Drosophila melanogaster: one gene and its partners. Changing the gene in region 1 together with any one later gene gives a genetic interaction. Each region holds a gene or a part of one and is shown on either strand. Other genes may lie near its edges. The genes, in order: put, anchor and NiPp1.

What was found.
Region 2: of put (region 1) and anchor, changing one suppresses a phenotype caused by changing the other (phenotypic suppression), as found in Drosophila melanogaster (one study listed by BioGRID).
Region 3: of put (region 1) and NiPp1, changing one enhances a phenotype caused by changing the other (phenotypic enhancement), as found in Drosophila melanogaster (one study listed by BioGRID).

What each region holds. Positions count from the first base shown.
Region 1 is NT_033777.3:14,616,574-14,629,501, forward strand, and holds put (punt), read right to left. Parts: upstream 9,131-12,928; 5' UTR 8,673-9,130; coding exon 8,627-8,672; intron 7,100-8,626; coding exon 6,914-7,099; intron 6,847-6,913; coding exon 6,670-6,846; intron 5,731-6,669; coding exon 5,585-5,730; intron 5,517-5,584; coding exon 4,701-5,516; intron 4,641-4,700; coding exon 4,461-4,640; coding exon of another isoform or gene 4,449-4,460; 3' UTR 2,457-4,448; downstream 1-2,456. Other genes in the region: CG14853 (uncharacterized protein), read left to right, coding at 379-436, 602-673, 731-1,261, 1,321-1,448; His4r (histone H4 replacement), read left to right, coding at 9,477-9,656, 9,721-9,852; CG7886 (uncharacterized protein), read right to left, coding at 10,437-11,114, 11,193-11,637, 11,696-12,158, 12,208-12,382, 12,533-12,709, 12,778-12,928.
Region 2 is NT_037436.4:17,617,132-17,627,340, reverse strand, and holds the start of anchor (anchor), read right to left. Parts: upstream 5,518-10,209; 5' UTR 5,039-5,517; coding exon 4,848-5,038; intron 1,234-4,847; coding exon 944-1,233; intron 849-943; coding exon 709-848; intron 649-708; coding exon 317-648; intron 255-316; coding exon 89-254; intron 27-88; coding exon 1-26. Other genes in the region: Vps60 (vacuolar protein sorting 60), read left to right, coding at 5,963-6,031, 6,089-6,240, 6,447-6,612, 6,692-6,922, 6,984-7,046.
Region 3 is NT_033778.4:17,003,063-17,012,270, forward strand, and holds NiPp1 (nuclear inhibitor of protein phosphatase 1), read right to left. Parts: upstream 2,088-9,208; 5' UTR 1,997-2,087; coding exon 1,968-1,996; intron 1,906-1,967; coding exon 1,691-1,905; intron 1,636-1,690; coding exon 1,421-1,635; intron 1,360-1,420; coding exon 789-1,359; intron 729-788; coding exon 607-728; 3' UTR 501-606; downstream 1-500. Other genes in the region: AsnRS-m (Asparaginyl-tRNA synthetase, mitochondrial), read left to right, coding at 1-476; CG6805 (uncharacterized protein), read left to right, coding at 2,699-3,445, 3,727-4,053; Ehbp1 (Eps15 homology domain containing protein-binding protein 1), read right to left, coding at 5,393-5,474, 5,535-5,723, 5,784-5,880, 6,439-7,111, 7,201-7,473, 8,092-8,486, 8,552-8,754, 8,890-9,208.

The DNA of each region.
Region 1 (12,928 bases):
TACCCTTTGTTGCTCGACACCAAAAACGACGAGGATCCTTGAGGGGAACTTATGCAAATGCAAATTGCTGTGCTGCCAGCGGAGATTGCGGATTTAAGTTAAAGTCCTTTCGGAAGGATTACGGCACCGAGCGCACTTGGCCAGCTTATTGATTGCTAATAAATTGCTTTCGAGCGCATTCAACTTTCAGCAGAGTCAACTTTTTTGTCCTACCCACTATGTGGGCCAGTAGATCGAGATGGAAGGGGGTGTAGATACATATATAAGCCTTTGTTGTTGAGATGTTATGAGAATTTCAAAAGGATTTGTTGGCATTCCCTTAAACGTGTATTGTGCAATGCAGCGTATTATATTGTGCGTTTCTCGATTCTCCTGCAGTTCCTGTCCGCCGTGATGCTAAAGGACTACAAAAAGGCATTGAAATATTGCAAATTGAGTGAGTAGAATACAAAATCAGCTTCCAAAGTATGTCACCATGCTTCCGAGAGTTGCAATTACAACTTTTTTTTGTTCGAATATGACAGAGAAATCGCTTTTTTTGGGACTTTAATGTAATAATTTCTTTAATTTATAATTTATATTTTTATACGCACCGATGCAGTCCTGCAATACGAGCCCGACAACGCCACGGCCAAAGAGTTCTATCCCCTCATCCTGGACAAGTTGCGGGCAGGTAGGTGGGCAGATGAACAGTGTGGTCAGTCAATTAATACTTATCTCGTTGCCCCAGTGGCCACATCCAGCGACAGCGATGAGAACTACAATAAATCTTCATCGCCCGACTTGGCTCTGGATCTGCATGCATCGGATGTGGAGGCTGACGTGGACGGGGATGAGGCAGGAGATGCTGACGAGGATGGGGATGCTGATGCGGATGGCGATGGCAGCGAGAGCAGCAACAATTGTTCCGAGGAGGAGGATAATGGATGGGGCGATGATGAGATTGACAACGTGGATGTGATGGATGGCGAGGAGGAGAGCAGCAGCAGTGGCGATGACTTCGATTTGCCCATCGACGATGCAGGTCAGGATCCAGCTGCTCTAGCAGTTCACGTACACCATTCCCATACCCACTCGCACTCCCATTCCCACAACGATTCTGGATCCTCGAGGAATTCATCGAGCGGCGGTGGTGGACGCAGCGACAACACCACACATTCCTACTCCAGTTTGCTCCTGGAGGAGGAGGACGATATCGTGCCCGTAAGCCTTAACTTTGGCCTAAAGGAGAACACCGCAGCTGACCTGGACGTGAGCAATGGTATATGTGTGATTAATCAGTATTTCCGTACATTGACCTCTTTAATTCCTTCATTTCAGGCAACAAAGTACCCTCCGCCTCCTGCAGCGACTCAGAATCCCCGACAGAACCGCTCACCCAACGCCTGGCGGCCATCCTGCGCTCTAAGTGCGGCGTATCCGGTGGTGGGTCAGATGAGACCTACTAAAACCATATATGTGTATACTCGTATATACTCAATCCCAAAACTGTGCAGAAATTCTTTTGGTGTGGATAGTGCTGACGATTTGCTTACAGAATGATGTTTGATTTCTTGCCCGCTGCACAGGGGCATCTATATATTCTTGTATAACTATTTATATAAACACACTCCACCCTTTGCCCGGCTAGTTTTTCCACTAGTGCGATCGCTTTACGAACCTAGAAACCGTCCCTAACTGCATACTCTCGTATCTCGTATCTTGTATCTTCACTTGCAAAGTTTTCTCCCTAGGACAAACATATCGTACAAACTCAATAAGTACTTATATATACATTAATACCTATTTATACTATTATATATTGTACATGTTAAGCCTAGAACCCAATAAAGATATACTCGATACAGTAAGCTGAGAATGGCTAAGGATTAGGTGATTATACACACACACGGAATGCGAAACCGAATCAATATAGATTTACATAGATTTACAAGTATATATTTTAGTAAGACACCCATTCAGAACGCACAGGACTTGGAATGCTTTACATTTTTGCATTTGATAGAGATCGATTTTTTCCCCAGGATATAGAAGAATGAGAGTTACGAAGCCAAGGATAAGTCTGATATGTCTATAAAACAGACGGAGGATGGAACGAACGATCGTAGAACTACAACTGAAATGGTCCAATGTCACAAACTACGTAGAAGATTGTAAATATATATATTTTGTATCAATTAAGCCTGTACTAGAGTCTATATATTCGTTCGATTTCGTTGTATAAGTTAATCAGGGACATAACTCTAAAAACTCCCCCAGTAATAAACCGTATATTTAATATTATTCATATAAATATTTGTATCTGATATGTGTAGCTCTTGGCTAAGTTTTCCTATCTGTATTGTTGAATTATATAATCCAGAAGGTCTGAATGTTTACGGAAGACAATTGTAATAAAAGTGGCAAGAAAGCTGGAATAGAGTCGATTTTTATTAAGGAAAAACCGGTGATGAATTGTTTATTAAACAGTTGCATTTTTATTTTAAATCCGTTATTATCAAAGATCGTTTTTTAATCGTAAACTTCTTAACACGACTTGCTATCATCTCGTATATGTTTTTCGCATATTGGTTTTTATAAAACTTTGCTGATGATATTCGAAAATGGGGTGTTTTAAAAAGATTTTCTTATGAATTTACTGTTTATAAACTCGTTTTGGTTTTACTTATGAAATGCATTAAAAAATATACCAAAATTGCTGTTGGCTTGTTATTGCCTTGTATAATGCTATAAAAATTTCTCTGCAAATCTTTTTGAAATGATCGATTTATATTATCTTCCTCTATCCCATTTAGCAATCTGATATGTAACAAACTACTATGATTAAATATTAATTGTTTATTCCTTCGCTCTTTAAATACTGGTTGTTTTTGAATTCGTTTCTTATTATCTTCATTATCATTATGTTCGTCGTAATGATGTTTCAGCACCAATGGAAAATATACAAATTAAATACAGCATAACAAAATTCGTTCTATTATTAAGATTATGTCGTTTGGTTTTTGTTTGTTTGCGTAATAAACTATTTTTGTTGTAAGTTGCTCAAAAAAATCAGGTAATGAAGCTTTGTTTGTTTCGTTTTGTTCTGTGTTGTGTATCGTGTTTAGTTGATATCTTAACTGATAATCCAGAAGTATTTCAGATGCTTAGCCATTGATAAGAACTGATGCTGCGCAAAAAAGTTTCAAATAACCCGAAAGATAATACATTCCGCCAAGACTCTCTTAATTAAACTATAGCTTAAATAACTATAGCTCGACATACACCTTGTTTGGCTAACATTATAAGACATACTATCCGTTTAACAATGTTTAACATACTTACTCATTGTGTTTAGCTCTAATTTCTTACAGTGTGTGCATACCTCTTGGGTTGAATATTAACTTTGATTTTTTTTTTGTTTAGATTTTATGCTGACGATGAGTCGCAGCGTGTGCTTCATATAAACCTGCTAGACTGCGTGTGTTCCGTATGCCTATGCGTGTATGTGTTGTGTGTATATATAAAGAGTATAGTTTATATTTTATAATTTATGTATATGCGCTTAAGTTAGATTCTTGTTAAAAAGAAACTTTCCTTTGAAAACTTCAGGTGTTGCTTGTACTGTCCAGTAGAATTAGAATACAATTACATAATTACACATTTATTATGCTTACGCGATTTCTGAGGGTCATTGGCACTACGTTTTGGAAATAAAAAAATAAAAATCAAAAGCAGAAATATAAAACAGACAAAATAATAAAAAATCAGATGGTTAGGATGGAGTTTAAAGTATTTTTATTTAAAATACAACATTAAAACGCATGCACGTTTGAGCGCGAAATAAAAACGTTACAACTAAAAAGTAAACTAAAATTGTTAAATCTATTTTGAAAATAACTTTAAATATAAAACTACTACTATATGAAGACATTCGATAACGTACAAATAAAATTATACTTTAAAAGGCTTGACGATAATTTTCAACAGTTTACATATGCACACAGGCTACTGCCAGAGGGCAAAACAAATTGTACGTTATATGTATGATTTATATAGAACTATATATGGTTATCAGTCAATGAAGTCAATGTCGGATTAGCAACTACCACGTCTCTGGACATAGCTAATGCTCTTTGTTCAAAGTTGCTTAGTGTACGTTTCCACTCATTTCCAACAGATTTAAGAACTCGGGTTAACATCGAATGAGTCGATTTATAATTTAAAGAAAATAATAACAAAGAATCGTTGGCATGTTAAGCTTTTGGCTTTTCCCTTAGGAAAAGTTACATCTTACACGACTTCTTTCGTATAAATCAACCCATTCTATAGCTGCTTATAATGGTACTACAAACTATTAAACTAAAAACGAAACGTCTTACGACCTCGACGATCAACTATCCACTACGAAGCAAAAAGCTTCAACTGATTTTTTTGCAGAGCCACAGATCCGCTGGCTGGTCTGTGGCTTAGTACCGCTTCTATAAGCAATTCGTAGATTCCTTGGCGTCGTCAATGTTGGTGTGGTTCTTGATTAGCAACTGGGTTGAGGGATACTTGTTTAGCTGCGCAAAGCGTTCCATCACACACGAAGAGCTAAGACGAGCCTCAGCGTCGTGATCCCAGCACTCCTCCATTGTGTCGCAGAATACATTAAGTCCCTGTAAAAAAGTTACAAGTTATTTTCATTGACTAAAAGCATTATCAGAAGTCACACTCACCGGATGGGCGCGCCAGGAGTTGAGCAAACGAGGGCGCAGCTTCTTCATTACCACACTCTCCTGAACTTCGTCCAGCGACGGCCTCAGGCCCAGCTCGGCCTCAAAAGGCAGCTGGAACTCACCGACGGGTCCGGCAAAGTCACACCGTGACACCATTTCCCAGAGGACTAGGCCGCATGCGTAGACGTCTATGCGTAAGAAAGCGTCTCTATTGAAATTGATGGCACCCTCAAGCACCTCTGGGGCCATGTAACGTCGAGTGCCTACTTGACCGTGTGTATCGCCGCAGGGCTTGCCTGGCTGGAATATCATGGCCAAACCAAAGTCAGCTATACAGGCCGTCAGATCGCTCTTAAGCAGTACGTTCTTAGACTTGAAGTCTCGGTGAGCTATCGATGGTTTTAGCCCATCGGTCTTTGATGCCGGGATCTCCTCGTGCAGATGTGCCAGTCCATTGGCCATGGACTCAGCGATGCGGCACAACTCTGGCCATGAGATCGTGTGCGATTTGAGGTAGTCGCATAGTGATCCGTTATGCTGGTAGGTGGATATCAGCCAATATTCCGGCTTGTCCATGTGCTTCTCAACGCCCAGGAATTCGAGGATGTTCGGATGGCGCATGCGCGGCAGCTTGTAGATATCGTGCTCCGTGGTCCACGATTCTTTTTCCTGCATGCGAAAGATCTTGACGGCCACATCCTGATTGTTGAGCTTGGCTTGCCACACATCACCGAATCTACCACTGGCCTTCTGTTCCAGCAGCTGAATGGGACGGTTGCTGAGCAATGGCGATGAGTTTGTTATCTCAGCCTCGTGCTAAAGGGTTTAATTTTGCATAATTAAAATTATATATTTGCGGCAACATCACAAGGATATGTACGTACCGTGGGTATCTCGTTAAAGTGCGCCTGCTTGCGGCGTCGGTAGAGAAGAAGGCCCATGCCAACAATGACCATGAGCACGCTGAAAACGGAGGTGCCAATGTAGATGTATATCAAATTGCTGCCGTCCTGCGTCTTCTCCTTGGGCACTGCAACGATACAAGGACACACACGGGAACGAACATTAAAGAGGGCTTTAAACGCTGCCTTGCCACAGGTGAACAACATCTCGAGTGGCGGCATGCACCTGCAGCTGCTGGGGTTGCTATGAAAGGCAAAACGAAAACTAAAAAACGAAAGTTCGCCCCCAATTTCGCATCTCTTTTTCCCCTCATTTTGTTTCGAGATAAAAGCGAGCTAGGCCCAAGAACAAAACAACAAAGAGCAGGGCACAAAAGACGCCCTGGCAGCACAGGGCTTCGAAGTCAAAGGCAGCAGCAACACCCCAAAAATAAAAACAAGAAAGGATGCTAGAATGAAGTCACTCGACACTTGTATACCTGGTATTAGATAACAGATACTCTCCTCGTTGTGGGTTAAGGCTGCAAGCCAATTAAGTATCATTCAAAATAGGTAGAGTCTAATCCTATTAAGCCTTCATAATCGGAGTGAAATAAATTGGATTTATACCAAATAACTACCTCTTTCAGTTGCATCCTTTAAAGCGAACGCATTATACCCGATCGCTAAAGAAGTACCTTACTATAAAAATAAAAACGAACCAGCGAACGTGCACAGGAGGGCAGAAATTGCAACACATGCGGCTCCGAAAAGGGGTTGCTGGAGGCTGGGGATGTAGAAAATGATGGGGGAGCGGGCGCCACTTCGCGTCAAGAGTTCGTTAACACGAAAAACGCTGCCTCGGATGCGAGGAGTGGTATTTTGTAGGCGAAGCCTACGCCCTCTTTTTGCAACTTGAAGATGCAGTAAAAATACAAAAAAAAAAAAAAAAAACGAAATAACAAAAACAAACAAAAAATATATGCAAACGGAAAAATAACAAAATTGGGGTAAACACTCCAAAGACAAAACCCCAGTAGCAGCAAACGTTAAACCGAATCTGAATCCGAAACCGGATCCGAACCCACCTTGTGTGGTTGCCTCCGTGGTGCTTTTAATATATTTCTGGTTGGAATTGCACCGCGATCCCTTGCAGCAGCAGAAGTGAATGTTTCCCTGCCGTGGCTCTGCACTGGTCACGCACTCCGTCTGATTGCATTCGTGCATGTCCGTGAAGCAGCCCTTCATCTTGATGCGCAGGATGCCTATGGGAACGGAAAAATTAAAATTAATCAGTATGCCTGAAACAACGTCAACTTCTGCACGGCTCACCCGTTGTCTCGTTGACCGACCAAAGGACATAGCAGCTGGGAAACTTATCCGCCTCCATCTTACAGTGCTCTATCCGTGTTTCACATTGCTGCGTTGTGTTGCACATCTTCTCGTCGAAGTGCTCGCATTCTATGATCCCATGACTTCCGGGCAAAATAGATCCATGGATTCCAATCAGACAGCAGACTAAATGAAGACAATGGGAAAATAGATTAATAATCTTTCTAGTTTTAGATTAGCACTGATCTATATTTAAAGTATATATTTGAGCAGTCCTAAAACATGAGTAAAGACTTTCAAAAAGTTAAAACGTAGTTAAAGATCAAAGTTAATGGAATTATCGGTTGGAAGTGCTCAAAGGGTGGGCAAATAAAGTCGAGCCTATTTGGGGAATAAGACTGAAAGGGAGGGCGCTCAGCGAGCTCTTTGTGGGCGCTATCCTTTGTACACATATCGCATGCCCAGAAGTAGCAGGAGTAGCGTCCTAAGCTGGGGCCTCTGCCATTGAAAGCCACCCCATTTGGGCACGGAATTAGCCCCACTGGCCACACACCAGCCTTTGAGTGGGCATGGCCCCAATGCACGGATATGCAGTGCACAGTGGGCCTGCAGTAAGGTTTCTTGAAAATCTATTTACATTCTTTAATTCGATTTAATCTGGGATCCTCATCCAAATACCGAAATTTTTGTTGATAAAAATTAAAATGATAATTCACTTTTTAAATGTGTAAATACAAAAAATTTAATTTTGAAAACGTTTATTGCAACGAGCCTGCGATATATTGATTGATATTTCTTGACCATTGGCTAAGCAAACTGTTTTCAATCCTTTGAAACACTTTTCGTCCCACTGTCCTTTAGGTAATCGGATCGCTGGCCATGTATGTGTGTGTTCGTAAGCGTGCATGCTTTATAGTAAAGTAGATACATAAGCAGGCACATTATGCACACAGAAAGGGATGGGTTTAAAGTGGCGCTTGTGCGGAAAAAGGAAACAGCAGCAGCAGAAACAACAACAACAACAGCAGCAACAGGGAAGAGAGCGCACTGCGCCACAGAAAGAGAGAGGGCTATGGCGAGCGAAAGAGAGGGAGGCCGGTGGAGCAAAAGGGTGGGAGAAACCAGAACCTGCCATACAACAAGTTCCTAATGCAGCAAAATCCATTCAAAGAAATGCTCAGCGCACACACACATGGATTAAGATTGGGAATTAGGTATCCGATCGATTTATACCGAGTATGCGTTTGGCGCTCAACATATGAATTCGTAGTACCCACTGTCAACAATTCTTACGATATTTTACTACATTTGTGTAGTACAATTGTTGGTGCTTTAATAGAGTATCTAGTGTATACATTATTCACTTCACAAATAGATTTGATTCCTAGCATTTACATTCGTTATACCTAATTTCTGAAAATTTAAGATGTTCTGATGTGTTGGTTAATAGGACAAAGCTATCACAAAGCCTATACACCCTATATATGAACTTTTCAAGCGCCATGTGATATTAATAAAGTAATAGCATTACGCACCCCATATCATCAAAAATCACACGCACGAATGGTTATAAATCGAAGTCGGCTTGCATTACAGAGGAAAATCGTAAGGCAGAGACAAAATATAATATTATGTACATATGTACATAATAAAGCGACTGGGAATTAAGGCGCCAATAAGTATGCACCCACACACTCGCAGTGCAATACATACCCAGCGTTAGCTGCGCCGTTAGATAAAGCAGATCGTATTTGGACATTGTTATCGCCTGTGCAAACTTGTTTACAGCACTCGTTGCGTATACGTAACGCGAATATTTCGATGTTTCGGGGACAGGTGCAGTGGAATGGAATAACTGGGTACTGTTAATATTATTTTGGCACAGAGTTCCTGTTGTCTTCGCACTTTTCGAGTACAGCACTAAGTGTGTATGTGTGGGTGGCCGAGTGTGTGTGCGGTGCCTTGGCAGCGATTTTGCTGGCCACACGCCGTTTGCATGCGCATTTCCGCGGGTTTTACTCGACTTTTCGCCGCGACTTAATTTTAAGCTAGAGGGGCACAGTTGAAAAAGTATATGCGCGCTGCACTTTTTCGTTTTTCGCAGGTCTGCGGGCCTGTTTTCAAGCGATTTTAGTGCGAGCACGTCTTTCGGTTCGATTAAATCTTTTTTGTCGCAACGGGGCGGCGATAGCGATGGCCGATAGGCGATAACTGACCAGGGCTGGTAGTGAGACAATAGAAATACTAGATACGCGCATTTTGCGAAAGGTATTTTGAGGTGTGCGAGATCTGGTCACGCTCACAAGCAATTTTCTGGAGATTTCTTGAAGTGAGTTTTGTTGCTGAGAAATTTAAGTAAATAATAGAAGAATCGGTCAACAAAGTTTTTTTGTGCATAAACATAAAAAAAATAATTGGAGACCATTATTTTGTATGAAAACAGACTTATTAACAACAGTTTTCACCTGTCAAATGAACGTTTACCTTTCACCAAACATGGCGTCGCTTTACAGTTTATTGCGTCTTCTCTTCTTTTCAGCCAACTTTACGAAGCAACTGAGAAATGACTGGTCGTGGAAAGGGAGGCAAAGGATTGGGAAAGGGGGGCGCCAAGCGTCATCGTAAGGTGCTTCGTGATAACATCCAGGGTATCACCAAGCCTGCTATTCGCCGTTTGGCTCGTCGCGGCGGTGTTAAGCGTATCTCTGGCTTGATTTACGAGGAAACTCGCGGTGTGCTAAAGGTACGTTCTGGCGAAACGAAGGGAAAGTGGTGAAAAACTGATTAATTTCTCGGAAAATTCACAGGTATTCCTTGAGAACGTTATCCGTGACGCTGTCACCTACACCGAGCACGCCAAGCGCAAGACCGTGACCGCCATGGACGTGGTCTATGCCCTCAAGCGCCAGGGACGCACCCTTTACGGATTTGGCGGTTAAGCACGCCCTCTAACCTCCACATAATAAATAACCATGGAGTTAACTTAACTACATTCAAAATACTTGATCCAATTGAATCTTAATCAGTAGTATTCAACGCAAACTTAACCGAACGCAAATATTTTATAATTTCACAATATACGGACTAAATAAATCAAAAGATATCACATAGAGAACTCAATATCATGCATATGTGCATTTTGACTTGGGGCGGTTAATCATCCGAAAATAAGGTCCAACAAACTCGCTTAGGGAGCACACAAATAATAAATCTTTAATGGAAATTAGTAAGACCAAAGTATATTTTTGTACATTTTTGGTGCAGCTTGAATTCGCAGATGGCAGGACGTGCAAAAAGGAGCAGGTTCCCTTTTCTACTGCTACTGCCCGGGAGTATGACTGCAAATTTAGCTCTCCCAGTGGGGATCCTATCGAATCGAGTTGGCTGCTTTGTTGTGGGTGTGATGGTGGTGGTAGTGGTGTTGTTGTTGTTACTGCTCGGCGTATCAGCCAGCTGTGGTGTCGCTGCTCCGGCTGCGAATGGCTGCGGGGATTTTGAATGGAGGAACCTAAAGTCACGACCCCTAGGCGCTCTGCTCCCGCTGCTTCTGGAGCTGCAGGGACATGTAGACATTGGCCGGGGATATGACATTTTGGTCGCCGAAATCGCCAGAGCCTCCACCACCGCCGGCATCTCCGTCGCCGGCCTCTTCTGTGAGTGACATGGACTCCGATTGCTTGCGCCGCACAAAGACATGCATGGAGGAGTATTTCGAGCTACTAAGTAACGTGGAGTCCGTCGCCTCCGTCTCGTAGTCTGAGTTCTCCAGCGTAACGTCCGTTGAGGAGAGTTCTTCGGAGCGGGACATATACGACGACTCCATGTGCATGTCGCCGACTGGTACCTGAAGATCGTCCTCAGGCCGAGGTTTAAGGCGCTTTTTCCCCGTTTTACCAGCATTCGCTTGTCGTTCCAGATTGCTAACGAACTGCGCCACATGTCCATCGCTGGCGCCTGGGACACGTTTTTGCACCAAAGCCTCGACCAGTTGAGATTGCCTCTGCCTCCTGTGGGATCCGTCACCCACGCCCACCACATAGCCGTGCTCGTAGCCCCGCTTGACTGGCTGCTGCTGCTGCTCATGCTCATAGTTGTAGACATAGGCCGTATCGCCCCCGCCGCCCTCGTATCGGTGGCCAGGATTGACCATCACATTGTCGCCAATGTCCGTCTCGAATTGAACAGAGGGATTAAGCTTGAACTGTGGGGATAAGATGGGTTATCGTACAGGAGAATAAATTGCTAGTACTGGTTAATTTATATTGTGGATACTACTCACATCTCTCTCGTTGGCAAACTCATGGTCCGACTTGGACTCGCGATTCTTTTTGGCTGCCTCCTTGGGATTGTTTTCCACATACTTAATCTCACTGCGAACCTTGCGCACCTGGAGATGTTTGCGTTGGACCTGCATTTGCTGTTCGTAATGCTGTTGCTCCTCGTTCTGCGGCTCCGACTCGGATTGACTTTCCTCCGCCTGCTGTTCCTCCTCCTCCTCCTCCTCCTCTTCCTCCACGTCCAAGTCCACCTTTTTCTGCACGTCGCGCAGATTTCGGATTTGCTGCTCCAAGGAAAGATGCTTGACCTCCATTGGTGGGGGTTGTTGACGTTGCAGCTGCTGCTCCTTGCGCAATGTGACAATCTCGCTGCGGGGTGTGACTTCGGGACTGGTGGCCGCACTGTTGACCAGCCGGTTGAAGTGCGACTGGCGGTAGCTTTGGGAACTGTGAAGAAATACTCAAATCAGATAGGCATTGAATTGAGAATTGAGAGCTAGCCCACTTTTTGATGACTTCTGGCATAACATCATTCCGCGCCACATATTCCCTCGAAATGTTCGTTTGTGATCCTCCCTCCATGGCCTTCTCTTGAACCATGTGATTGGAGTCGGGTCTCATGAGCTGGTGGCTAAGCTTCTCATTCAGCTTCTCGGCCTTCTTGCGCAACGTTCGCTCGAAGGAGAGCTGCTCCTCCAATGCTTTGGTGTGGGACAGCAGTTGAGAGACGGTGACCTTCTTGTTCTTGGGCAGGCTCTGTAGCCCGTTGACGCAACTGAGATCATACTCTGGCTCCTGTTTCTCCTCTGGTAAACAGCCAAGACGATCATGGATACTTCGCTGCAGGAACTTACTGATTCCTTCGTTGTTTCGCACATTGAACTCCGTAATGGCCGTGTTCAGCTCCAGGCAATCGAGAATTAGATTTGCCCCGATATCCGTCAGGCCGCAGCCCTCCATGTCGATTTCTGTGGGGTATTTGAACTGTATGGATCGCACTATTCGGACTCTACGTACTTTTTATCCAAGCATCCTCTTTCAACACCTCGGTTATCCACCGGATGCCCACGTCGCCAATCTCCGGGTTGTCAGCCAACAAAACCGTGCGCAGACCGCCAATCGTGTTCACATCGACGCTACGGTAGCGGAGGGACTTCTCCCATCCCTCCGTGAAACGGGTGATCTTTTGCATCTGATTACATAAAAAACATAAACGCAGTTATAGGAAGACCATTAAGAAGGGTAATAAAAATATGCAATGGAATTTCATCATATACTACTGAAAACGCCAGGATATATTTCTAGAAAGAAAGAAAAAGATCTACAGGGATTAAGAGATTACCTTGAGCATGTCGGCCACGTGCTCGGCTCCCTTGGAAGTAAGTCCGCATTCAGAGAGGTCGAACACTTCGATGCGATTCAGGTATTTGGCTGTGTTGCACACCACCTCGCAGCCCTTATCGCCAATGTTGGATTTGCGAAAACTCACTGATTCGAGGCATTCGTTGTCTGCCAGTGCCTGTGAATGGATTGGATATATGTGTGTACTTGGAAACGTGATCCCGACCGCAAAACTTTTCAACGCACCTTGGCAATGGTCTCGATATATCCATCCTGCAATGGCAATCCCTCCAGCTTCAACACACTTAGATTTTTGTTGCTCGAAACACAGTTGGCAATCGCCTGGACCAAACTGTTGAATATGAAGCGAGTATAGATCACTGGCCGCTGGCGAAAA
Region 2 (10,209 bases), on another chromosome or scaffold:
GTACAGAAAACCATGCTTCGAGCAACCTGAACGAAGAGAATACATAAATAATGGGAAGTGGATTTGAATTGACTTTCAATTCAATTACCAATTCAACCTCCATGTTGTACTGTGTCGCAATGACGAAAGCCCCGGGGGCAGCTGGAAAGGTGCCGTAGAGAAAGCCAAAAGTGCTCAGCTCGGTGGTGTCGTTGAAGTTCTGGCCAGACTGCATAATGTTTACCGTCTGTCGGATTACGAGCGGTAGCACCAATCTGTGAAATGAGAGTACACGTGTTGATCTATTGAATGAATATATAGTTAGAAGGAAACTTACATTTTAACCAGTATAAGAACACCAGGCAATAGAAAGCCTATACTCTTTCGTTCGGATCCTGTCCCACCTACGATCTTAAGACCGAGTAGGAACAAGGCCGTTGCCGAAAAGCTCTGGCCAAGAACACGCAACGTACTGGACACCATTTCGGGCAGACCGTTGGGAAACAGGAATCCTCCTGCAACACCCAGCAAGGTCATCAGCAGCAACGGGTTAAAGAACAGTGCAATTAGGGTGTTGAAAACCAGTATAGACCGTTCACCCAGGCAGCGATTCCGTTTGGACATCTGTTCCGCGGGACAAGTTTCTGGACACAATGGTGGATTGCGGGTCTGCAAAGAATAAGAACTTGTGGTATATTTGCAGAGAGAGGGATTTAGATAAACACCAACCACATCCTCCTTGTTCTTGATTATCTTGGAGATCTCCATGAGGACCAGACCAACTGGATTTAGAATAGCCAGTGAGATAGGAGCCATCAGGTACAGATACGAGGCATATTCCGGATGGACATCCTTATAAAGAGCCATAACTGAAGGAAAAATAGAATGTTAGGTGAAATTGAATTTATATAAAGTTGCATATATTTCTAGATGCAATATCCAGGTTCTTGTAACATGAACTCACCTATGGGATAGCCGATAGCGAAGTCATTGCTCTGGGTGCAGAATATTGCCATCAGGCCGCCGCGAGCGTAGTTCAGGGGCCTGGCGACCAGCAGCGAGATGATCAGCACGGCGAAGAAGACCACCGCCTTGGAGACGAGCATGGCCAGAAGGAAGCTCCAGTTGACAGCGCTCCAGTTGAGCTCGACCAGGGACAGGAAGATCAGCGAGGGCAGGGCGAAGGTGCCCACAAACGTGCCCAGACCCTTGGTTTCCGCATTGCTGATGATCTTGAAGCGTCCGGCAATGTAACTGCAACAAGGAGCGAGTAAAAGGGGAACACATTACACCACTAATCATGTTGTAAAGGCGTGTCGGGCCACGCCCCCCTCACCAAAAGGCGTATATTTTTAATGCTAATAACCCAGCCAGCCGGAAAGGCGGAAACTCTTAATCAATATGTACAGTGTACTCTACATGCATATAAAATACATTCACCGCAGCCCCACACGTGATCCACTCGTAAACCAGTTTTATTTCGGACTGTCTCTTGGCTAACAAAGATTTGTAAACGTTTTTTATTTTCGAGCGAAAATCTGTATTTCTGTCACATTCGACGAGACAAATTAATTTGTCTGTTAATCTGGAGTAGGGAGTACTTCCCCCTGCCTTAAACGAACTAGTTTAGCGACCTTTTCTTATGACTCAACGCGATTTATTGCATTCACTGCATGTTGTGGGAATAACCTGGGGAAGCTCTTATCTCCTTAAGATTTGCGAGACTGCTATTGTTAATATTGGCAGAACTCAGCTTCTGCGTTTGCGAAGCGCCATGTGTCATAGGTTTCTGTGAGAATGCTTTTTCCTAGGAATGCGAAACCCTTGTAGACATTATCTATGTTTTATTTAGCGTGGAAGAGGTTACAAGACATGACTGATAAAGAAGTGTGCCTATGCGAGAGCCACAAGGGCGGAAGATGAAATTACAGTCTCTTTATTAAGCAAATATAGAGAAATTCTTCATGCCCTTTTCTTAAGAAATTCCTTTTATATTTATAAGATGGAAATCAGGAAAATACTTGATAAAAATAGTAATGAATGAAAGCCTTATATATGGGTCTCCACTTTAACATTCCCTTGGGTCTGAAATACAAGTTTTAACAATTGTTGTCTGTGAGTAAGGTCTGTCCACAGAATTTGTACATAAACAAAAAGCTAGACTAAACAGAAAACGTCAAAAACTTTTTCCTTATTTATCTCGCTCATTTATCTGTTGAGCAAAACAAGTGTTCTAGAAACTCAGTCGAGAGAAACGAAATCCAAATTAGTCAACCGGGTAAAACTCATTAATGTACATACATATATACCTCTAAAAAAGAAGTAAAGCTTAATTGGCAAACTGTGAGGATCGGCACGCAAATATTCATCTTACGTGCCCAAACAAAGTGCAAGTTCATTATATTATTAATACTGCGAACCGACCTGTTGGGCAACTCTCGCCCAGAATCCGATGAAGAAACACCTGCGAATGTCTATGCTATTATCAAACTATTGCTACAGTTAAAACCATAACGAGTCGAGGTGTTTATAGCCCCTGTATTATTGGTAGCGCTTATCAGGTTATTTCCAGCCTAAATCATAAAGAAAAATGATCACAGCGAGTCAATCAAATTCTCACAGCGAAAACACACACAACAAAGATTCATCAAATAAATGATTAAATATAATTTCAATGCGATAACAATCGTAAACAAACTTTAATTGCATTACGAGCAGCACTTAAAACTGGAAGCGATGTGCATCTCTTCGCTACCCTTTCATAACAGCGTGTCAAAAGGGTGATAAATATTTGCATTTGGGGAGACATTTGATTGACATAGGGATATGATTTACGTTTGCTAATACTTGGAATTTGTACTTCAAAGAAAATAGTGAGGTATTAAAAGCTAATAAGTTGAAGAGAAATATTTACCATACGAAATTGAGTTATTACAAAAATCAAAAATCAAATCAGTTATAGATAAGTCTAAGAGCTAAAGCAATCTATTTTTCTCAATTACATTTACATTTTAAAGGCCGAATAATGATAAGGACTAAAGGCAGGGTATTACCTCAGTTGGCTTTGCAAGTGCAGAACGAAATTCTAAAGTCAGATGCCAACGAACGCGAAGGGAGAGCAGTTAAATAACATATAATCGCATCCGACTTTGTAGTCGAGTTTGTATAGGCGATATCAGTAGCTGTTTGCTTGAACAGTTGGATGAGGTGCATCTGCCTGGCGGTGGATCTTTGGGTGGGCATGCATATCGCCAGTAATTGGCAGTGGTCGGTAGACAAATCGGTAATTGCGGTTGCATAATCCGTACAAAAAAGGTGCAAATATTGCCTCAGGTGGAGTGGCTCGATACTGTTTACGCTGTATTGCAAGGTCATTGCTGTAATTGTTTATACCGATTTTGTACGTTTTTTCTCGCACTCTCTAAACGTTTTACTTTCGATTATTGCCCACTGGCAATTAAGTTTCGGCTTAGATGCATGTATAATGATTGATATGGGAGCTAGCAGCGCAAATTTACAATTTACATATGCCGCTCCCCATTGTTATTGAGCAATTTTTTGTATGTCAAAGTTAATAGGTGCTTCACGGCAATTTCCCAGGAAAAGTGCCACGACCGGCGGGAATTAGTTCAGATTTATGAAACCGCCTCTAATTATAACTGCTAAATCGGTGGTTAAACATTGGGAAAAATTCCAGCATACGCCAGCAGAGATATTCCCTATTAAATAGCCGGAACATAATGTTTCAAAGGTTTGGATTTTCACGTGAATGATCAAACAATATCAGTTAACGACCGACTTGCAATGACTAATCGGAAATTTTGTAATTCAAATAACCTTTGCAAACGCCAACAAATTTAGCATAACATTCTTTCGCAATGCATCAGCAATTAAAAGAACTGCAGCATAAATTAAAGAAATAGAGACAAAATCTAATCAACAAATAGGCATTGGCCATTAGGCAACTCTTTTTATAATAGATCGAAATTAATTTTATGGGGAATATTAGGCTAGTTGCTGCTGCGGAAAAGCCTAATTAAACCCGAATAAATCTCTTTTGGGTAATTCCGTTTCTAAAAATAACAAAAGTTAATTTAGCTGATTTCGGATAATTGCTGAGTTTGTTTGAAGAAACAAACGATTGAATCGGAGTACGCACAGACAGTGAGACAGCAGTTTGCCACAGATAATAAAATTCGAGTGTCAATTGATAAGTGGGTGAAAACAAATCAGAGAAATTGAAACTGAATCGAGACGGTGTCCGTCATAAGTGCTGGTCACTGTACAAGTGACCGCACGTTCCCCATAATCGTTGCGATAAGGGGTGAAATACATACGTTCGAGTTAGGATCCTACGTGGGATGTGGCAAGCTATATTGTAACTTCAATTACTCAAACTATCTATCTTTTAAGAATATCTAAGCAAACTGAAACGTTTTATTGGTAGTTTTTTACATTTAAAGAGTGGTATTTCAAGATTATTTAAGATTCCTAAGAATGTTTGTTTCTTTCCTTAAAACTATCTATTTTTGATATTTTAGCAAAGAATGATTACTTTGCTTCAGTGGTAGCTATAATTTCCCTTTGAGAATAATTTAAATTGGTTTATTATTGGTTTATGACTACTGTGCTGTCCCCTAGTGAGCTTGCTAATAAAAAGTGTACACAATGTTCTGCCCAATAAAGTAAATAAAACCGAATTAGGGCTGTTTAGCTGTACCTAAATCAAACAAAGGCTTGCAAATGAGCTTTAGGGGTGCGAGCAACCTGGTGTTTTTGTGTTTGGGGTGGAATATACGGGTAATCTTATCGGGAAGGATGCGTGGGACCACTATCTAGGTGCGAAGTTCCCCAATATATCTACTAACCCGCAAATGATGATGCCGAAACACTGAACCAACGCCGGGTAAAAGTTGTTCATGGATACGCCCCCGTCGTCGGCGCGTGGCGTCGCCGTTCCATTGGCCAAAGATGAGGCCATGGTCGAGGTGATGACTCTGACATTAGCCTCTGTGCTGGCAGCAATCCGCTGGCTGGCGTAGTACATGGAGCTGTCCATTGGGGACTACTGTGGAGTGGCTGCTAAGCGTGGGAGTTCACTGTTAGTGGGCGACTCTGCGCGTCATAGCGGAAAAAGTGGGGTGCTCCGGTGGGCCAAGCAGCTGATGGGCCGTGACGTCAAAGGGCCAGCTGCGGATTTATTGGATTTTCGCCGACCTTTACTTTATGTTGCTGGCAAATATGTTGCTCTATTATTTAATCGCTTATCTACGCAGTTTTGTTTGCCAATTTGATGGTTGTTGTTGTGTATTATTAGCACTCTATTTTCCTTCAATAGTCGAAAATGGTCGAAAATCGCAATGCCCGGCAGGCTGATTTCACTTTCATCTGTTCGAACGACGCATTGCTGATTTTTGAGTCCGCAGCACTTGCTTTTGGCAATTAAACGAATTTATTAATTTGCGCAAATTAACGTAGTTAAGAGCTCAAAAGCGCCCGCCGATGCGTTTTGTTTTTAATTTGCAATGCGAATGGTGGGACCGCAGCGCGGTCGTTAAGTAATACCAGCGGGGCAACCAAAATGTACTAAAATACACCATTTATATGTTATGAAAATACCAAACAAAAATACTAAGGCAGTGCTACAAAGAGACCGTTAAAATATCTGTTATTTACACAGTTTTTCCTAAAATTGAACGACATATAAGCTAAATATCGAACCAGTTAAACAAACCAGTTCGAATGAGTTATCTTTCCAAATTACAATAAAAACAGTTTCATTTAAGAACAATAAGTCGTTGGTTGACAGACCTGCCAAACAGTGCTGCCCACCAACACTGTACGGTCCAAACAGCTGATTGGTATAGGAAAAAGAAGAAGACAATTAGTCATCAAACAAAATTTGTAGAACGAATTAAAGTGGAAAACCCACAAATTTCCCATAAATTTTGCGTGTTGTAGTTAAAATAATAAAGCAGTCAATATGAATCGCCTTTTTGGTCGTGGTAAGCCCAAGGAGCCGGGTCCAAGTCTAAACGATTGCATCGCCGGGGTAAGTGTCGAAATCATGGAGAAAACAAAGCAAATAACAATTTATTACACTCAACAGGTCGATGCCCGAGCAACAAACATCGAAGAGAAGATCAGTAATCTGGAGGCAGAGCTGCGCAAATACCGCGAACAAATGTCCAAGATGCGAGAAGGTCCTGCCAAGAACTCCGTGAAACAGAAGGCCCTCCGGGTTCTCAAACAAAAGAAGGCGTACGTTCAATGCCCCACCCACTGCCTAGTATCGATTATATTCCAAACCTCCAGTGTTACTCTTCTCCAGACATTTGAAATTATCATTTCCTAATCTATAAGTTCCATTACCTTATGAAATTTACATCCACAATCAATTTTTTTATTGTGTCCTGTTCTAAATGAGTATTTTAAACCATTTTGAACTTTATTTGTTTCCTACACAGCTACGAACAGCAGGCAGAATCTCTGCGCAACCAGTCGTTCAACATGGAACAGGCCAACTATGCGGCGCAATCCTTGAAGGATACTCAGGCCACCGTGGCGGCCATGAAGGATGGAGTCAAGCAGATGAAGACCGAGTACAAGAAGATCAACATCGACCAGATCGAGGTAAGCATAGTTAGCTGGAAAGAGATGGAAATGTCCCAGAAATATGAACATAAATTAATTTTTATCCTTTTGCCTAAAGGACATCCAAGACGACATGGCTGATATGTTTGAGCAGGCGGACGAGGTGCAGGAGGCACTGGGCCGCACGTACGGCATGCCTGAGGTGGATGACGACGACCTGCAGGCCGAGTTGGATGCTCTGGGCGATGAGATTGCCTTGGACGATGACACCAGCTATTTGGATGACGTGGTCAAGGCTCCGGAGGCGCCGAGTCGAGAGCCGGGAGCTGACAGCATCGTCCCTGGAAAGGTATAATGCTGCTTATATGGATAGCAGCTTGATTGCTTACTAACGAGCTAATTTCTTACAGAGCACCATTGAAACGGATGAGTTCGGCTTGCCCAAGATTCCGACATCGCTGAAGACCACATAGGCAAGCTGCCAAGCTGCCAGCTCTCATGTTTCCATTCTTTATCCTTTGTTGAACCTTGGGCACGCTTTGTATATTTTATGTGTAATGGAGCCATCAAAGATTCCCTCTCAAGTCTCACTTTTGTAACCATTTGTTTTTTCAATAAATAGCCGTTTAGTTATCACGCCACACTAATGACGCATTATATTGGTTAATTTATGAAAGTTAATATATATAGTGAAAAAACATTAATATATTTCAACTTCAAACTTTCACTTAATTCAGGGAAAGAAATTATTATTATTTATTATTTATTAGGTTTGTGCTTAAAAATTTTAACAATGAAACATTCGTTCTTTAGTTTTTATCCAGCGGTTAAATCAATTAATATAGTTTAAATTGTAAATTAAATAGTTTGACCCTTTTTTGATCGGATGTACAGCTGTACGTATACGTGATAAACACTTAAGTCAAAAACTCATTTCAAACAAAATTTGGTGAGCTTGCAGAACAGGTAAGAAGAAGCTTGCCATTGAATTACGATATTTTCAATTTAAGTAAGTTTTTGAGTATAAAAGTGAGTATAATGTACTGCTTACTTTTTTGAGAAAGCAGAATACTTGCTGAATGAGTTTCCGCCGCATTGTAATTGAAATGGATTTAGCGTTAATCGAACGCAAAGCAATGTTAATATATTTTTTGGCCTTGAAATTAAATAAGGTGTTGTTGGAAATAAAGTACGCAAAAACAAAAACTATTTCCCACAATTTCGACGTACAGAGGATGCACTGTAGCTCCCTACTCTCTTTGGCTCTCCCTGCAATTGCAATTGCATTCCGCTCTCTTAGCCTCGCTTGCGCTCTCTACGCTAACGAGCTTTGAAGTTCAGAGCGTGAACTTGAGCGTTTCTCTGCCGTTGTCGTCGCGAGGTGGAGGTGCGCTGGTGTGCGTGAGCGGGTCTCAGTGCAGCGCAGTGCCTGTGTGCAAAAATACGCTTGTTCGCCGTTTAGTTGTCTTTTGACTGCTGTAACGGACAGTCGCAAATTTTGCCCCAACTCTGATTCGAGCGATTCGAATGCGAAGAGGAAAACCTTCGCTTTTCAAACACGCATAACAAAAACCAAACAACAAAACAAATTAGCAGCAACAAAAATCAATTGTTCAAACGTAACTGTAACTGCAGCGTTCGCGCCAACCGACAGAACGCCCGCTCGCCCGCCCGCCCACTTTTCCCGCCCACCGTCGTCGTCGCCGCCGTCGCGTCGCTAATTAAACGCTTTGCTACCGATCAAAAGTGCAATCCCAAAATATCAAACAAATAAAATGCGTTACAAAGAGTTCTGAAGCAGCAAAAATCGCGCGAAGAAATCTCGCTGTTCAAGTGGCCTTAGCGTGATGATTAAAATGTCAATTAATTAATCCAAATATCTGGTGGCATCTGACAGCCTTTGGTCGGCTTTTCCCGCCCTCCCCTGACCACGCCCCCGCCCCCATAAAGAAAAGTGCCTGAAAGTTTATACATATTTACACAAGAATTTTAGAAATTAAGTGATAAATCGCAAAGTAACTGATAGAAACTTCGAGGCAATAGGGTATATGATTTTTTTCTGCCGTTGCCGGAACATTATGGATATATCGCCAATTGGATTACTTTTGCTTGAGATGGTAAGTGACTAATTCCAGAACCTTGTTTTCCTTTCGACCAGCAGATCGCTCATACGCAGCGTTGCATTCGCCGCGGCAGCGGAGTTGCCTCGAATGCAGGAAGCGAATGGCGCAAAAAAAAGCTCTCTATTTATTTCGTCATCGGTGCACATACATACATTGCACATAGACGCATGTATAGCTACATACTTGAAAGTTCGTGAAAGTGTTGAAAATTTTAGGAGGAAGAAGATCGGGGTGAAAAGTGGGTGGGAAAAATGCCTGCGCCTCCAGCGAAAATATCCTTTAATAATAGTTGCTAAAATCTGCAGGATCATTTTGTGTACTAGAATTATATTATAGAATTAGTACTAATAAAAGCTTTTCTTTGTTAACATATCGAGTATTTGACATGTTTTCAAAGAAAATGTGCGAAACGCTTGCTTTGTTTACGAGATTGCATTATATAAAATATAATATTTTCAATTGGTAATATAGTTTAGGTGGTGTTAAATTTTCTAACACACTTTGCATTGATAAGAGCTCCACACATATCAAACTTGTAGGAATGTCATTATGCATTATTAATTTGAAATGACTTGCAAACTTTTTCAATAAGAATACATATTTAATTGTATCGTTTTTTTCCATTTTTAAGCAATTAAGATATGAATCTAAAAATTGTAATGCATTACATTACAGTGCAATAATTGAAATAAATATTTGGTCATGCACATTTTCCCACTACCCTTTTATTTATTTTTAATGCGGGCATGACTAATCCCAGAATTGAGGAAAAAAAAACCAAATTCGCTGAATTTCAATTTGGCAAGAAAACTTTTTGCATGTTTGATTTTGGATAATCCCCGCCCTTCTAGAATTTCACAGCCCAAAGCGCTGGCCCAGTTAAGACTTGAGTTTGGGTTTTAGCCAATTAACAGAATTCGATACAAAGTGAAGAAGCGATCAATAAAAGCGCCAGCCACAGCAAATAAATTATATTTTGCTATTTTATTACGTTTTTTGTAAATGCTACATGTCAATCCGTTTCGTTTTTCTACTCAATTTGGTTAACCACAAGCTGAGATAAAAAACCTATTCAGATTTGCAAGTCAAAGTTAGGCGATCGGCCTTCGAAGGGGGCAATAAATAATACTGCCTGACCTGAGGGCCCTGAAAATACGTACTTCCTAAAATTTATTCCATTTGCCGCTGAGCAACAGAATCACTGACCAACCTCACCAAACATTGCCATTCCCCCATTCCCATTTGCCAAAAATAAAACCAAAACAAGGAACAAAAATATTTGAAAACAAAATCCAAATGGGATTTGCCAAACAAACGCGATAGCCCTCTGCTGATAAGAAAGTTTCGAGTAGAGCGCTGGCTCAAAATTAATTTGGATTCTTCACTAAATCAAAGATAATCCCAATTTAGTAGCTACAAAAATAAAGTTAAAAGTAAAGTTCTACCAAAACTATCTTAATGTGATATGGAGCGAGGGAGAGCGCAGATAGAGAGAACGAGATAGTGATCGTCG
Region 3 (9,208 bases), on another chromosome or scaffold:
AAGTACCGTGGAAGATAATGAGCTACGATGAAGCCCTGCAAGTACTGCAGGAAAACAAGGACAGTCTTAAGACTCCTATTAGCCTGAACGAAGGATTCTCCAAGGACCAAGAACTTTTTTTAGTGGCCCATTGTGGTGCTCCCGTATTCGTTGTGGATTGGCCAGCTCAGCAGAAACCTTTTTACATGAAAGTCTCGCGTTCAAATCCCAATCGAGTTCATGCCCTAGACCTACTGATGCCAGCTGTTGGAGAATTATGCGGCGGGAGCCTGCGTGAAAGCGATCCTGCTATATTAAAATCCCATCCGCATCTGCCGAAGGATCTGGAATGGTACGTTGACTTGCGAAAGTATGGAGGAGTTCCAACTGGAGGATTTGGAATGGGCTTTGAGCGTTACTTGCAGCTTGTCACGGGCGTTAAAAACATTCGTGATGTGATACCCTTCCCCAGGTATCCACACAGCTGCAAGATGTGATCAGATAAAGATATTAAATGTTTTGTTTTACGTTAAAAGTCTAATAAACAAATATTACTCCAGAGTGTGTTGTCAATCATATGCTTGAGAAAATCGTAGGTGGAATCTTAATTATTTTGTTAATACGCAATTACAGCTGCCCCAACATGGGCTTGCGACCTGGCCATGCTTCCTTGGCGTATTTCTTTTTCTGTGGGCACAGCGAATCGCCTTCGCCACTCGAGTCATGCGGATCCTCACCAAAGCGACGAACTAAAATGGTGTTATAAACAATCAGTAAGTTTTTAAACAAATAGTCGCGAGAACTATTACCGTTTGCATTAGCGACGGCCAACTTTTGAGCCAATGTCGAGGTCTCCACAGCTTCGTCATAGACTGGCAGCACTTCAGGCGCAGGATTCGGGAGCAATAGGCCCAACTTGGAACCAATGCTCAGCGGGGAGATGGGCTCTAGGTCACCCTTGCCATGCATTTCGGCCGGTAGACCTTGATATAGGGAATTAGTAGGCGAGTGGAGCACCGCATTGGGCGGAGGCATTTCCCTATGCTGCTGCTTCATGTCAACTAGGCTCTGCTGGAACATTTGGTGTACATGTGCGGCATTGGCACTGGACAAACTGCTGTTGCCCGAATGGATGCCCATATGATTGACGTCGCAGCGAGCCCTCTTGGCGGGCACCACAGTGGTTTGTACCAAGTTCCTGAAGCGTCCCACATTAGGATCCACATCCTCAGGATTGATGACAATCTCCTCATCGTTAAATGTGACATTTCGAGTGCGCCGTCCCTGTTTCAAGGCGTTTTGCTTTCGCATATTGGTATCATCATCGATGCCCAGCATTGAGATGCGCCGATTGTGGGCTGTGTTGTATTCTGTGAGATTCTGCAGGATAATGGAAGGTTAGTTTACATAGTATTTAGCTTTTCTTTTCAACCAAACGCACATCAAGCTCCGTTTGGCTTTCGGGTAGGCCCAGGAGAGCTCCATCGCTGGTTTCACTGAGCGGCAGGTCTTCCATGATGTTGCTGTGGTGGCCAGAGGGTCGTTCCCTGAGTATGTAGTTCCGGGTAGAAGCCCCAAAGTGGAAGGTGCTATTAATCTGCAGCTGTGTGGGCTTGTGCGCTTCCAATCTGAGTGTTCCAATAAAGGTGCCATGAGCTGTCAAAAGTAAATGGATAAGCTTACTCCGAATCCCAGATATCTTAGTACCTACTGGACCCCAGATCCACGAGGTAGGCTATGTTGAGGTGCTTGTGGTAGACAAACGCCGAGTGGACCCGCGAACAAGAGGCATGGTCTATGCAGAAGTCGTTCATTTGACTGTTGCGACCAAATAGATAGCATCTTTTTTCATCCACCATCAGTTTTTGTACTAGTTTGTCGTCCTTTAGCACATCCAGATGTAAGCCAGTGGGCGGTTTTCCAGCCCTAAAATAAATAAAATGCTACGTGATTTTGTGGCAAGGCAGCGGCTGAATTTGACAACGCACCAACTGGGTATGTCGTAGCTGTTAGCCATACTTTTAACTTAAGTAAAATAGTTCGGAAGGTAAGTTTATACAAAGTGTTTATTTTTATGAAAAATCCTTAGCCAGTGTGTACACACAATTGACTAGTTGCCGATAATATCGGTTTAGCACAAGCAAATGCAAAGGGGCATTCTCGCGTAAAAAAAAAAACAATGAAATAAGAGTATTATTATTTTAAAGGAACTTACGCACAGTACAACTTTTAATCTTATATCTTTATATTTCTTAAATTGATTTTTGGCTTTTATAATATCTAATGTGTTTCAAATAAAAATCTAAATTAGATGAGAAGCTCATGTTAGCCGATGTTTTCGATGAGCTTCAGAGCTCCGTTACTATCGAGATACCATAAAATTTTTGCCGCCGCCTAAGGTATATTTAAATAGTTGTGCTGCGGTCACACTAAGCTCACGCAACGGACGGACAAATAAACATAAATAACGACATCTGAGTATTCTATAAATAATACGGGCAACTAGCGCTTCCTAGTCCAATTAAAGCGGCTTAAAAAATTAGTGCTGAAGAATTAACGGTTACATAAATGAAAGTTGCGTGTGCAAAACGCCTTTCGCTTTATTTGCTGATGCTGCCAAATCCGTAAACCTGTTTTGGATGCCCATGAACTCATCAACAGCCACCTTGTGACGTCCAAAACAACAAGTATTAATCATAGATAATTAGACGGCGGAAAAATGGTTACGGCCACGGCGATTGCGGATCTGTGCATCTTCCTTTTGACCTGGAACGTGGGCACCCATACGCCGCGAAATCAGGATCTGAGCTCCCTTTTGTCCCTTAATGGCACCACCACTTGTCCGGATAACCAGCTGCCCGATATCTATGTAATCGGATTCCAGGAGGTGAGCACCACACCGCAGGTGCTAAAAATCTTCAATGACGATCCGTGGGTGCTGAAGATCGCGGACTCTCTGAGCGATCACCAGTTCGTAAAGGTGGACTCGAAGCAGCTGCAGGGAATTCTTATAACCATGTTCGCACAGCACAAGCACATCCCGCACATGAAAGAAATCGAGACAGAAGCCACGCGCACGGGACTTGGAGGGCTGTGGGGCAACAAGGGTGCCGTAAGCATTCGACTTTCGCTCTACGGAACTGGCGTCGCATTCGTCTGCTCCCATCTGGCGGCGCACGATGAGAAGCTGAAGGAGCGCATCGAAGACTATCACCAAATCGTGGACAATCACAAGTACAATGCGCAGGGATATCGCCGGATATTCGATCACGACTTTGTCTTTTGGTTTGGCGATCTTAACTTCCGTCTCTCCGGCGATATGTCCGCTTGGGATGTCCGCACGGATGTGGAGAACCAGCGATACGCTGATCTGCTCAAGCTCGACCAGTTGAATCTGCTCCGGGAGAAGGGAAACGCCTTCAGCTTGCTGGAGGAGCAGCAGCCCAACTTTGCGCCCACTTTTAAGGTAACAATCTAATATACAATCTTATTATCTCTACAGTCAAAGTTTGCCTTGAACTTTCTAATCTTAATCTAAATAATGTATATAGGGGTGGGTGTAATTAATTTTATCTGCACTTGAATTTTTAATTTCCGCCAATCACTTCATCAATCAATCACTTCATTCGGCTCCACAGATTTCATGAGAAAAGCAAAATCCAACTAATTTATGAGGCAATATGTCGAATGTAATTAATTCGCCTTATCTCTAGCACCCATATAAAGTTCATTTGATTTTCCTTGCAGTTCGTGGAAGGCACTAATGACTACAACTTGAAGCGGCGACCCGCCTGGTGCGATCGGATTTTGCATCGCGTGCAGAGCAACATTTATCCGGGCATTACCCTGAGTGCCAACCAGCTGTCTTATCAGTCCCACATGGACTACACTCTCTCCGACCACAAGCCCGTATCGGCGACATTCAACTACAAGGTCGAGGCTGCCAACCAGACCTACACCGACGAGGAGCTCCACGAAATGACGCACGGATCTGCCTCATCTCCGGCGACGCCAAATGTTAGTCTATCCTTCGCATTTGTTGTTTTTGTAGCTGTGTCCTATACTCAACTTTGATTTCGCTTCTTTTGTAGTTATTTATCGCTGAACTAGAGCAATGGTAGCGCCGTCATGACGTCACTTAGTTGTGAACTTTTAAATCTCTTTGCATGCTTTTAGATTATATGCGTAGACGAGTTGTAGAGTAATTAAAAGACTTCCTTTCAGAAGGAACAAGAGAAACGAAAATAATATCAAGTACAATGTGATGAAATCTCTGCTAATTTAGCAATCATTTAAGCAATTCTCAAGTGATCCATGGAAATAATGCAGCTTCCGAGTATATATACATACATATGTTATCACTCAATTAAGACGATATTAATTTAACGATTGATTGCATTAAACAAATGTATTTTTGTACACTAAACTGTTGATCGAATAAAAAAAACTATTACCTCTCGACGTGACTAATCTTTTTTGTTACTGAGTCAATTAAAATGATACTCTGTTAAGTATTTGTATTGAGAAACCTGTTAATACAAAAAAATAAATAAATCGATATGACGCATTTTTGTTTTGTTATTGGAGTAACTTTCCCAGATAACAACGGATAAGACTTCTTAGAATGGTTTTGGGTTTATTCGATGCTGATGACAGCATTTTCGTTTCTTTTATTAGCTATTAATGTTCCTTGGGTCGAACAGTTCTTTATACAACATTCGCCTGGGCAAAGTAAATTAAAATGTATTTTATATAAGTATATAAGCCACCTTTAAATTATGATTAAAGCGCTTTGCTTAACTTAGAGCAAATGTACGGGTCTAAATAAGGTATGTTAAGATAGGTTTGTTGTATAAGTGTAATTCATAAATATATAAGTGTACGTGTATTTTTGGATGAAGCGTTTCTAGTTATGTGGGATAAATGCTAAAGTAAAACTAACGTAAAATTGCCTCCTCAATTCCCTATCTCACATCGCTATTGCGTTCAGGATTTACATAAGTTAGGAGTGGTTCAGATGGCACAACAACGAAACATGAAACAAAGTTACCACCATTTAATTTAAAGTAATACCAAGATCTGATTATCGTAAATAGGTGTATAAACGTGTGCCTGTCTTTTTACTTAGTTCACTAACGGACGTTTTGTTCTTATTTCTTGAATTGTTTTGCTTAAATACAAAAGCAATTTGTTTTGTTTCACAGTATACCTTTTTTTTTTTAATAACCATACCAAGTGGTCCAAGTATTTGTTGTCGTTGGATATAACGATTGCATAAGAAGCGACACCGAACCACAAAAACCACGCGACCTTATCGCGTGTCTCTGAACATAGTTGTTATCTAACTAGTTACATAGATAAGATTGAGTGTGTGTAAGTATAATCTCCAGTCAGGTTTGGTTAATTTCGATTTCTATTGAAGAACACATTTGTCTTTTTCAGCACTGATGTCCACGTGCTCCAGTTTCCTCGCGATCTCCTGGTCGTCTTCGATCCTAAACGAGTCCGAGGGTTAGCTTCGTATATTTTAATGATGGGAAAAGTGCTTCACTTACGCTATCTCTTGGTTGTGCAAGTGCTGAACCAACTGGTCGCGCTTGTCGACAATCGTCATCAGTTCCTCGAGCAGCAGTCGCTCCTTTTCACGCTGAACTTCCGTTTTGCGCCAATCTTCCACAGATTGCGCCGCCCGCAGCTCTTGATTAAGCATTGTATATTTTCGCTCCAAATCTTTTTCTTGCTCGCTGAAGGGTGTAGATAATAATAAGAAACAAAGCCGATAGTAGTTCTAAGTGATAACTTACAGTATATTTAGCTGCATCTGTCGCCGGAGGAGTGCGTTCTTCTTGTTGACCAGCGTAAACCATTGCGATAGCAGTTGCTCCTCTGTCTCCTCGGTCTCTGTGGAATGTTTAAGTGTCTGATTATAAAAAGGCAATGATGGGGGTTTTCTTTGTGAAGCACTAAGATTATTTAAAGCCTGCCTGTTCTGATTATACTACTGAAATTGATTTTCTACATAAGTCGCAACCATACATAAGTGGCTTAAGTATTTTAAAACAGTTTTTGAAATAGGCAATACCAGAACAGGCGCTTCGTGCTTTGCTTTATTCTAAGAAGGCGTCCTTTGCCTTTTTCAAAAGCTGCTGCAGAGGGAGGACTCTGTGATTAGTGAGCGTTATATCATCGGAGCTGTTAGAACCAAGTCCGAACATAGTTAGACACAAGTTGGAACGGTTGCCCGCCAAGTTAACAAGCAAACACAGACATTAATTGGAACAAACAAACGGCACAAAGAATGAGCGAGTGGATGCGGTTGAAAGAGGCGAGCGAGCGAGCGAGCAGGCGGAAGATCTGGGCGATCGGCAGTCAGGCGGTGAGGCGTGGCAGTGCTCTGGCAGTTAGCAATTAGCAGGGCAGCTCAATGGTACAGGCATGATAGGATGGGCCGCACTTTACCACAATGATTGGGAGTGTGACATAAATGGGAGCGCCGCTCCCGCCTCTGACGGCGTCGCCTATGACGATCCTGCTGCCGCCGCAACGAGGCCGCACGACCGTTGGCCGCCACCGCCAGGACCTCGTCATCATCGCTGCACGCAGGCAGATTATCACAGGAAGACTGCTGCGAGGAGAGCGCCGACGGGGAGCTGTCTAGCATGTGGGTATAGGGCACAACGTGATGTACATGATGCGGGCGCAGATGAGCGGGCGTGTTGATGGTCGATTGATGGTTCTTGTTCACAAAGCACGAATGGGAGCGTGGCCGGGGGCGTAGCCTCGTGTGCAACTCGTCGCCTGAGTTGCAGACACTATCGCTGGACGTGTCCCTATCGTCGTCCTCGCTACACGCCCCGCTCCGACCGCCACCACTACCGGCACCTCCACCAAAAAGGCTCTCGTCATCCGAATCGAGCAGCTTAATACGTATCACATCACCACCACCAATACTATTTCGGATTAGCCTAAGGAAGGGGTTGCTGTTTCTAGCGCCACCCCGACGATTATTACTTGGATTGCCGCCCATTACGGCGCGCAGCTTGGCCTCCAGATTGCTGGCCTTCTGGTCGATAGCCTCCTGCTCCCGCTCCAGGGCCTCCAGCTCGGAATCGATGTAGGACAGCTTGTCACCCTGGAAACGATGCGAAAATGACTTAAATTAGTTATTAATTTAAATCAAGATGAAAGACAAAGTAGACTAATTGTATGTTTTAGGCTTACCCTCTTCTCGTGCTTTGGTGAGACGCGCTCCACGATTGCGTTGAAGGACTGTAGGACCTTCGGATCACTTAACCTATGACTAGGACTGCCTGGCTCCTTAAGCTCCAGCTTTTTCGCGTGCTCCGCATAGAATTCCTCGGCTCCGTTGTGGATCGGCGAGATGGTGCGCTCCAGCTTGGGCCTGGTGGGACTCTCGATGGAACCACCGCTCTTCACACGAGTCTCCAGGATAAGGCGACGAGCCTGTTCCAGCAGACGCTGCTGCCTCTCCTCCTGCCGGGGCAAACACATTGAAACAACTAAGTGAGGATTTATACAAGGCAGCACCTTTGTATGACAAAATATAGAACTATAAAACTTATGAGAGGTTTTCCTAAAAAGTGAAACAAAATCTGTGTAGATAATTGTTAAAGAGCGACACTTTATGAGTGCCACATGTACACAAGTTTCAAGTTTAACAAAACAAGTAATGTTCTAAACAATGAATACATAAAAATGTTCAAAAAATGTTTTTCAATGTATTTAAATTCTTAAAACTAATCAGATATTTTAACTTAACAAGACATGCTAGAGATAAGCTGCGCTTCGTGCGGCGAACTGCGGCTTAAGCAAGAAGCTACTTACGTCGTTCGCGTCGCTGGTTTTGTTAAGCTTTCGCTTTTCCATCATCAGCTTGGCTTTTTCGCTCATCATCTTGTGGCGCGTTAAAATTCGCTACAAATCAAATCAAAAATAAAGCGAAATAAAGAAAACAACAATATATACAAAACTGAAAAGGTCTAGGAAATAAAGTGCTAAGTAGATAAATAAATAAATCGCCAAAGCCAAAGCAACAACTCAATGCATAAATTCAACTCAACGAGGCAACTGTGGTGCTGGCTTTTTACTCACACTGGCCGCCTGCGGATCAATGGTGGTTATGGAGCTGTTCTCCTTGCCACCCGGTTGTGACCCTTTATCCAGTGATTCATCCTGCGGCGGTGTTGTCTGGCAGCTCAACATCGGCGATTGATTTGCATGCTGCGATGCGTTGATCGAGTTCTTGTCCTTGGTGGGCGACAGCACCTTGTCCAGAATATTCTTCGAGTTGTACAGAATCAAATTCTTCACATCCTTTTTGCTTGTGGGTGAAAGTTGCTCCGATTTATTTGAACCATTTATCTCCTCATCGAATGAGTTTTGATGCAGCAACAACGACTTGGGGTGCGAAAAGTTAATGCGATTCTGCGACAAATTGTCCGACTTGTAGTCTCCAATAACGTAGCTCGACTCGTCTGCCGTTGAACCTAAAAAAAAAAAGCATATTTATGTTATGTTATATTATAATGACCATTTTTAAGAACTCGCTCACCGATTTGCTCAATTTTTAGCTGCTTGCCGGTAAAGTGCGCCCGCAACTGATGCAAATAGGTCATCACGGCCAACTTGTCCGGTACCGTGAGCATATTCATGTCGCGCGGCTCGATTACACGAGGTATTCCTAATGATTCCGCCGCATCGAAGCCAATTCGACAATTGCCAACTACGTCATGGGCGCTCAGCTTAGACATGTCACTATGAATTGAAATGCATTTATTAGTTTATTCAGTCCCGTTATTATAACTTAAAGTTAGAATTGGAATTGTAATAAATCAATTGATTGTAAATAAAGTGCTCAATAAGAAATTCAACGTAATCATGACAACTCACATGAGCTCCGGCACAAAATGATGAATAATAGCGCAGAAGGCCATGCCGTTGCGCCAGCTGGTCGTCAGGTTGGTAACCTTAACATTGGGGTAGTCTTTGGTAACTTCTTTGCACCACTCCAGCAGATCCTGCCCGGGCGTGTTCTCCTTCAGCACGATCTTCTCCACCGGCTTAAGGCTGTTGTTCAACGAGCCAGACGTACTAAAGCACGATCCAATCGATTCGTTTATCACAGATGCGGGTACGGGTGCGGATTCAGGTGTCTGCGAGGGTTCGTAACTCTTCTTTAGATTTAGGGGCTGCAGTTCAGGGCGCTTGG